Canis lupus familiaris: one gene and its partner. The protein of the gene in region 1 interacts with the protein of each later gene in a biochemical or structural test. Links are inferred from orthologs where the notes say so. Each region holds a gene or a part of one and is shown in the gene's direction. Other genes may lie near its edges.

Evidence for each region. The genes of interacting proteins can lie anywhere in the genome.
Region 2: the proteins of SCN8A (region 1) and FGF14 form a complex in vitro, tested with the Homo sapiens proteins (2 studies listed by BioGRID). The link is inferred for Canis lupus familiaris from reciprocal best matches to the Homo sapiens genes SCN8A and FGF14.

What each region holds. Positions count from the first base shown.
Region 1 is NC_049248.1:43,303,488-43,307,663, forward strand, and holds the start of SCN8A (sodium channel protein type 8 subunit alpha), read left to right. Parts: upstream 1-1,374; 5' UTR 1,375-1,521; intron 1,522-2,240; exon of another isoform or gene 2,241-2,270; intron 2,271-4,176. UniProt on the Homo sapiens protein: Pore-forming subunit of a voltage-gated sodium channel complex assuming opened or closed conformations in response to the voltage difference across membranes and through which sodium ions selectively pass along their electrochemical gradient.
Region 2 is NC_049243.1:52,137,884-52,142,063, reverse strand, and holds the start of FGF14 (fibroblast growth factor 14), read left to right. Parts: upstream 1-1,374; 5' UTR 1,375-2,175; coding exon 2,176-2,383; intron 2,384-4,180. UniProt on the Homo sapiens protein: Probably involved in nervous system development and function.

The sequences.
Region 1 (4,176 bases):
ATTCTACTCACCAGTTAGAATGGCTAAAAGACAAAAGATCATAGGTAATGTTGCCAAAGACGCGGAGTAACTGAAACTCTCATATGCTGCTAGTAGGACTATAAAATGGCACAATCACTTTGGAAAGTAGGTTGGCCCTTTCTTAATAAGTTAAATATACACCTATAATTGGACTTAGTCATTCTATTCCTAGACATTTATACCCAAGACAAATTAAAGCATATGCACACAAAGCATATTCATGCAAAAACTTGCACACAAACACTATCAGCTTTATTTTTAATAGGCAAATCCGGAAATAACCTAAATGTCATCAACAAGTGACTGGATACACACGCTGTGTATATTCCTATAATGAACGCTACTCAGCAATAAAAAAAAAAATTAGCTATTGATAGGCAACTGTGGCATCAACAGCAGGATAATCTCAAGACAGTTGTGTGAGAGGAAGGAGCCATACCAAAAAAAAATAAATAAAATAAAATAAAATAAAACAAAACAAAACAAAACAAAACAAAATAAAATAAAATAAAATAAAGTAAAATAAAATAAAATAAAACAAAATAAAATAAAGTAAAATAAAAAAGAAAGAAAAAAAAGAAAAAGAGAGGTACATACTGTATGATTCCATGTATTTAAAATTCTGAAAAATGCAAACTAATGTACAGTAATAGAAAGCAGATTAGTGGTTGCCTGGAGAGAGAGAGAGTGGGAGAGTGATACATGGAAGGATTACAAAGAGGCAGGGGAACCTTTTGGAGGTGACGGGTATGTTGGAGGTGACGGGTAGGTAGATGGTGGTGATAATTTCCTGCGTGTACACACACATCAAAATTCTGCACTCTAAACTTGCGTGGCTTATCGCATGTCACATACATCTCGGTAAAGATACTTAAAAACGTAGGCATTGGCCCACTACGTGATGGGCACACCGCGCGCCAGGTGAGATGCCCTCTCTCCAAGCCTCCCCACGAGCCGCCCAGGTTGGTGCCGCGGTCGCTCGCTCTCACTGACAGCGTCTGCAAGTCTTTTCCTGCGGTGTAGACAGGCTGATCGGGTTCCAAAGCCACGCGGCCGGTGAGCGGCAGCCTGGCCACCGAACTTGCGGTGGGAAGACACCTGTAGGAGGGGGACCCTGACTGAGGGGCGCTCTCACTGTCACCGTCCGCCTCCTCCTAGGCGGTTCAGACGTTCGCGCCTGCCGAGGTCCGAAAGGATGGAGGTGCCCTTACGCAGCGGCCCACCTGGGGGCCGTCAGGGATGCGGCGTGTCCCTCCTCCCGCCACCGGGGCCCCGTGCGCCGAATCCCAACGCTCCAACCGCTGCTGATAGACTGCTGCGGGATTTCTGGTTTTGTTTTGGGTTTTGGGTTTGTGTGTGTGTGTGTGTGTTTGGTTTGTCTTTCAGCCGCCCCAAGATCCTGTAGATGGAGTTGCCTGTGCTTAGGGGTGTCGGCTCTCCGACAGCGGAGCCTGGCCGGACTGCGGGGCGTCGCCCTTGCGGCCGCCGCTCCGGAGACAGGTGAGACTCGCGGCCTCCACCAGGGTCACGCCGCACCTTCGGGCTCCAGCTCCCCCGCCGTCCCGCGGCTGCTCAGCCCGGTGCGCGCCCCCCGTGCCCGCCCCCCGGCCTCCCCCCTGCACGCGGCTCCGCGGGGGCGTCGGGGAGGCGGGCCCGCACTTTCGAGCTCCTCTCCCCGGTGCTGGCGGGTGTCCCGCCGCGGACCCGAGCCGCCCAGCCCCGTGCGCCCCCCACTCCGCGCCCCCCCCGGCCTCCCCCCTGCACGCGGCTCCGCGGGGGCGTCGGGGAGGCGGGCCGGCACCTTCGGGCTCCTCTCCCCGGTGCTGGCGGGTGTCCCGCCGCGGACCCGAGGCCGCCCAGCCCCGTGCGCCCCCCACTCCGCGCCCCCCCCGGCCTCCCCCCTGCACGCGGCTCCGCGGGGGCGTCGGGGAGGCGGGCCGGCACCTTCGGGCTCCAGGTCCCGGTGCTGGCGGGTGTCCCGCCGCCGACCGGAGCCGCCCAGCCCGGTGCGCCCCCCCCCCCCCGCCCTGCACGCGGCTCCGCGGGGGCGTCGGGGAGGCGGGCCCGGGGACGCTCGCGAGGCGCTCGGGCGCGGCGCCCCCTGCCGGCGCCCTGCTGCCTCGCCCCGGATCCGGTCCGGGCGGCGCGGGGACTCCGGCCCGGGAGCCAGCGAGCGCGGGCGGGCAGGCGGGCAGGCGGGCAGGCGGGCGGCGCGGCGCGCTGCGGGCGAGCGGGCGCGTCCTGCAGGGGTAGGTGGGCCGCGGGCGCGGGCGCGGGCGCGGGCGGGCGCGGGCGGGGGTCGGCGCGGGGGCGGGGGCGGGGGCGGGGGCGGGGCGGGGGCGCGCGGCGGCGGGGGCGCGCGGCGGGGCTCGTGCCGGGGCGGCGGGCGCGGGGGGCGGGCGGGGAGCCTCAAGATGGCGCCCACCGCAGTCCCGCCCGCCGCAGCCCCGGCGCCTCTGCAGTCCGGCCGCGCCTCCCGGGCCCCGCGCTAGGGCCGCCGCCGCCGCCGCCGCCGCCCTCGCCGCCGCCGTAAGTCGCCCGGGGCCGGCCTCCCCGCGCTCCTCGCCCATCCCGCGCCGGGGGCTCTGCCGCAGGGCGCGCGGCGGGGTCGGGCTCGGGCTCGGGGCCGGGGCCGGGGTCGGGGCCGGGGTCGGGGTCGGGGTCGGGGCCGGGGTCGGGGCCGCCGCTGGCGGACGGCTGTTTGCGAGGCTCGCACCTCGGCCGTGCGTGCGGGTCGCCGCGGGGAGGTCGCGCCCGGGCCGCTCGGGGGGCGCTGGCCTCCCGCGGGCCCCTGCGGCGGTGCAGCCCCCCGGAGGCGGAGGCCGGGACCGGTCGGGGCCCCGCGGGCTCCCCGGGGAGGGCCTCGCTGTCGGGTCGGGGCCGCCCTGCCCCTCCCCCGCGCCCTGCCGCAGCCTCCCCCCCCCCCCCCCCCCCGGGCTCCGGGTCGTTACCGGCCGCAGCAGCCCGGGACTCCCCCTGCCCTTTCCTGGGGTGCGCCCGTCCCTGCCTGGCTGGGCGCTCTGGGGCGGTGCGGGGGGCCCCCGGGACCTTCCTGGGCAGGCCAGGATTCCTGCAGTGGGGAGCACATCACTTTCAGAATCCCCCCTTCCCCCACCCCCATCCCTACGCCACCCGATGCGGAGCTCGTTGCTCTCCTCCTTCCTCCCTCCCTTCCCCCCCCACCCCTGCCAGCAGCGCCCCGGGCTTCCTCGCGCTCGGCTTACAGGACTCCCAGCTGCAGAGACCTGGACCCCTCCTCTCTGGTTCCCACTTGGTCCCTGGGGGACCGCAGAGCCTCTGCATTTTTGCTTAGAGCTCAGCTCCATCCCTGCGGCAACCACCGGTGGAGACTTGGCTGTTAACTTTCCAGGGGGGGTGGGGGCTTAGCCGGGGCCTTCAGACCCCTGCGGAGGCCTCAGCTTAGAGGTCGGGTGTTGGGGGGTGGGGGGAGTGCGAATCATTTTTTGCAGTCTGACAAATAGGATTCTTCGAGCCATGCATTCCTTCCAACTACTCCACCCTGTGCCTGTGCCCGTGCCCTCTTCCTCACTTACATTGCAGTTTTTGAAACACGGGCGGGGGGGGGGGGGGGATGCATTTTATATCGGGAGATTCCAAGATTCTGGGCCTCAGGGTTCAGGATTAAAGGATGTCATCTGTTTGGGGAGAGGGGGGAGAAACTTGGCACTGCATCTGGCTAATTCAGGGAGAGGGAGAAATCATTAGCATGGAGCCAGCTCTGCCGCCCGAGGAAAATTCTTTTTAGTGCACGGCGGGCACCGGAGAAGCAGGAATGGAAGCAGGAAATGTGGGTGAGGGCTTTGGGAGCAAAGGGGGGAATAGTGCTTTTTATAACTATTTTCTCAAGTTTGAACCTGGAGAGCCTTCAGAGAGCTATCGATGTGTCAGGGCTGGGGGATGTTTTAGCTTTGCAAAAGAGATTTCGGGTGTGGTAGGCTTTCGCTGTTTCACCATCTCTCTGTACCTCTCTTTTCTCCCCGTGCATTAGAAGATAATGCGGGGTGAGGGGACTTTTTTTTCTTTCCTTCCCCCACCCCCCAATTTTTTTTTTTTTTGATGTGTAATGCAAATGGCTGGAGAACATTAGCATCCGGTACCATTCTGGTAGGAATCTCAGGGGAATCAGACTTAAAC
Region 2 (4,180 bases), on another chromosome or scaffold:
ATTTTGACATCTCAAAATGACTAGTAGATATTAGAAAACTCTAGCAGTGGGATAGTTATTACATTAAAAATTTTTTTGATAACTGATAACCAAGGGGTTAATTTTCTTTAAAATCGATTTCATCTCTCAATCCTCAACAATAGAAATCGATGGCTCTTTCTTTATGAGATAGTTTGCTGTCCCACGTAGTGGAGGTTGTAGTTTTAAATTTTTTGCATTAAAATGGAGTTTCTAAAAACATTTTTAAACTAAAACTTTTATGTCAGTTTTCCATAAAATGGAAATAAATTGCCATAACTTTAATTCATTTACTTAACAAGAGTGAGAGTGGTCAATTCTTCTTTTCTGAAATGCTCAGGTCACAAATATGTTGAAATGCCAATATTTGTTAGTTTGAGTCGTGAGTACACAGGAATTGTGATATTATTCTTTGTGGTAGCTTGTGTTATTTTATACATTGTATTTTTTCCCCAAATAAGATGAAATCTTTAGTTCTGCCTTAAATCTTCTGATTTTCTGAGAAAGTAGGAAGCTAGGTTTTATCCTGGTGAAATAGAAAATTTGTCCATTTTGTTAGGTTAGATGGTGGTGGCAGGTGACAAGGTTATATATTAGCACAGATGAGAAGGGAATGAAGGTGAATTCAATGTTAGATCAGTTAATGGGTGCAGAAACAAGCAATGAACTAGGGTAATCTAAGCAGAGTGCTTTCTGTTCATAAAAATTATTTAAAGATAATGGGTTGTCTGCCTAGAAAAGGTGCTAACTTTTTTCATATGACCCTCTCCAGCAAAATATAGCTTGCCGCCTAGATTTTAGTGGTTGTCTTTTTAATAGGCTGTTTCTATAAGTACATATTTGTCATATGCCTAGTCTATATTTTTCAAAGAGCACTTTAAGTAGAATTCAAATAATAACTAAAGGAACTTGAGTCTTCTTTAATGTTTTGGAGGCTTTCGATGCTGTTTTTGCAAATGTAAGTAAGGTGGAGCTCATTTTGGCTGGGAGGGGCGGTAATAAACTATTATTTCTCTTTAAACCCCTTCCCTCTCATGTATTTTCTAAGGTCTACTAATTAGAATGGTTAATTTTCCTTTTAAAAATGCACTTTTAACAGAAGACTCTGTTAGATGGCTCCAGGAGCCAGCAGCCCGCCGACTCATTCTGGGCAGAGGAAGGAGAGGGTCCAGGGCTGGGGCTGGGGCTGGGCTGGGGCTGGGGCTGGGGCTGGGGCTGGGGCTGGGGCTGGGTGCCGGCTAGGAGGGACTTCCAGGGGGAAAGTAGCGGAGAGACTGCAGTGACACTGCCCTCCCCGGGCGGGTTGAAGCATCTCACTGGTGACGGGTCTGAAAGCACGTGGCTACGTCATGGAAAGCCAGTCTTTTCAATGCAAACTTCAACTCCTCCTCCTCCTCCCTCTAATGCCTGTAACTCACATCCGAGGCTGGGCGAGGAATCCGGAGGGGAGCTTTTCCTCATGCTCACCGTTGTTGGAAACTGGGAGAGTGACAGGAAGGAGGAAGGGGATCTGTGGCGCTCTCTACCTACTACCAGCCTGACAAGGGGAGGGGGCACCTGGATTTGCATCTTTTCTTCGTGGTGATTGAGAACTGCAGGTTCAATCCGATCCCACTGAGCACTGGCGATTGATTATAAAAAAAAAAAAAATCGACACAGGGCGAAGGGAGGCTCTGTCTTCGGCTGTCAGACTCGATCTCGGAGGTGGTATTGGTGTGTGTGTGTGTGCTGGTGTTTTTTTTTTTTTTTCTTTTTTTTTTCTTCTTTCTTTCTTTCTTTCCTTTTTTTTTCTTCTCTCCTAGGGGCTACACAATGGCAGTCTTCTCTCAGTGAGATGAATCCTGCTTTGCCTTCTGCAGACCCACCCATCCTCATAGCGATCAAGTAAAAGGCTATGGTTTTCTCTTTGGGGATCTTTTGTGCATTACTGTTCTCTCTGATTAGTTCTGGTCTCTGTTGGGATTTCTTTGCTTTTTTGTTTGGCTTCATGCTGAAAAAGGATTTTTTTTCCAACCCTTTGGTAATAATCCAGTGGTGATCGAGGGGGATAAATCATTCACCCTGGCCGAAAAAAAACAATCACTGAGAAGTCTCAAAGAAATATACCACGTGAGGGGAAAAAACTGGGAGAAGATCCGGAATATTATCGTTTTTCCTATGGTAAAACCGGTGCCCCTCTTCAGGAGAACTGATTTCAAATTATTATTATGCAACCACAAGGATCTCTTCTTTCTCAGGGTGTCTAAGCTGCTGGATTGCTTTTCGCCCAAATCAATGTGGTTTCTTTGGAACATTTTCAGCAAAGGAACGCATATGCTGCAGTGTCTTTGTGGCAAGAGTCTTAAGAAAAACAAGAACCCAACTGGTAAGCAAAACATGCATCATGTTATGTTTTTCCTCATAATAACCTGTCTGTTGCTCACTGAGCTAGATCTGCAGTTCTGCTATGCAGGAAGGCAGGGGAAACAGAAAAGGAACCAGGACAGTGTTGCATATAGAGGTGTTGATGGATAAACAAGTAACAGCTGGATCGGCGTCTCTGAGCCCGAAAACCATGATCAGCATCTCTTGGCTGTGACACGATCCATCACTAGGAGGGAGGAGGAAACTTTTTTTTTTTTTTTTTAATGTATTTGGTTGCCTATGTTTGGTGAAATATTGAAGGGCTGTGGCTTAAGGTTTTGCCCGAGGCAGCTGAAGCTTCGGTAGTTGCCAGGAGAAAGACCCGCGAGCTCTCTTCACTCCTGCTGCAGGTTCAGGGACGTAGCTAGGTGCCGAGGACCTGCTCTAGACTTTCCGATTAGCTTGCACAATATTCGCCACCCCATCACCTTTACCAAAGTAGAAGAGGCCCTCTCCCTCGCGGCCCCGCTCCTCCGTCAGCCCCCGCCTCCCTCCCCCGTCTAGTTCTCGGTGCACGAGTATTAACTCATCCCCCGTCTGCCTCCGACACCTCCTGCCACTGGGAATACTTGAGCTGGGCTTATGCCCGGGGCAACCCCAGACGGAGAAGACGAGCCCAGTCCTTCTCATGTATGCAATTTGAAAGCCCCTTTTAAAAGGCAGTGTCAAGACCCTGCGCCCGAGTCCCACGGGTGGGACGAGCGGGGCGGTGGGTCCCAGCTTCAGGCTCCGGTGATCTTGCGTCCCTATTCCGTAAGCTCCAACCGGGAAACTTGCAGTGCATTACATAAGAAATGCAAATGCAGGTGATTCGGGGCGTCGAGTCCCGGGGGTTCACTTCCCGGTATCCCAAGCTGAGGCGTTTGGGGGCGGCCGCGAAGTTGTGGGCGAGCAACCGGGGGAGGCCAGGCCGGAGGGCTGCGTGGCAGCGGCGGCGCGCCGGCGAGGAGGCTGGGCGCAGCCAGTCTGCGAGGCGCGCGCGGGCAGCGGGGGTGCGCGGCGTCCCCGGGTCAGTTCAGGCTGGGGAGGGCCCGGGGGCCGGTGTTTGTGTCTGGGGCTGCGTTGGGGGGCGGGGGCGGGGCCCCGGGCGTCCCGCAGTGGCCGCCCGGGCGCCGGAGGCTCCTGACGTTGGCACTGCGGTGTAGTAGATCATGCCTCCCCGCGGCCGCCCTGACACCCCGAGCTCTGCCGGGGGCTGCGCTGGCGCCCGGAGCCCCGGCGGCCGGGCAGCAAGTGGCTGCTGCCCCCCAGCCTCGGAACCTAGCAAACGCAGCGTAGCTGGGGCGGCAGGCTGCGAGGGGGCCCTCCAGAGAGGGGGAGGACCAGGGAGGAGGAGGGAGTGGGAGGAGGAGGATGGGAGGTGCAGGGGGGAGGTAGGCGGGGATGGGGGTGGTGGGTGTGGAGGCTGAGCACCCAGTGAGGCCCCCACTGCTGCAGGAGTAGGGAAACTGCGAGTTGTTAGACCGTCCGGAAGGGCAGGTGCTCGCTTGTGGGCGGAGGACGCCTGGGCAGCGGCCCCAGCCGGGACGTTTGGGCGGCAGTGGATGCTCTGGGAGAGGTCTCCGCTGCCCGCGGGCACGCTGCTGCAGTGGGCTCCGGGGCTCTGCCCTGCAATTCTCGTCGCTGTGCTGTAGCTCTACCCCTCGCTCACCGTCCCCCTCCGTCCCCTCCTCCGCCTCCTCCCTCCCTGCTCCCCTCCCCCTCCGTCTCCTGTCCTTTTACCCTTCTCTCTCTCAACTCCTCAGCGTTTAGCAACTCT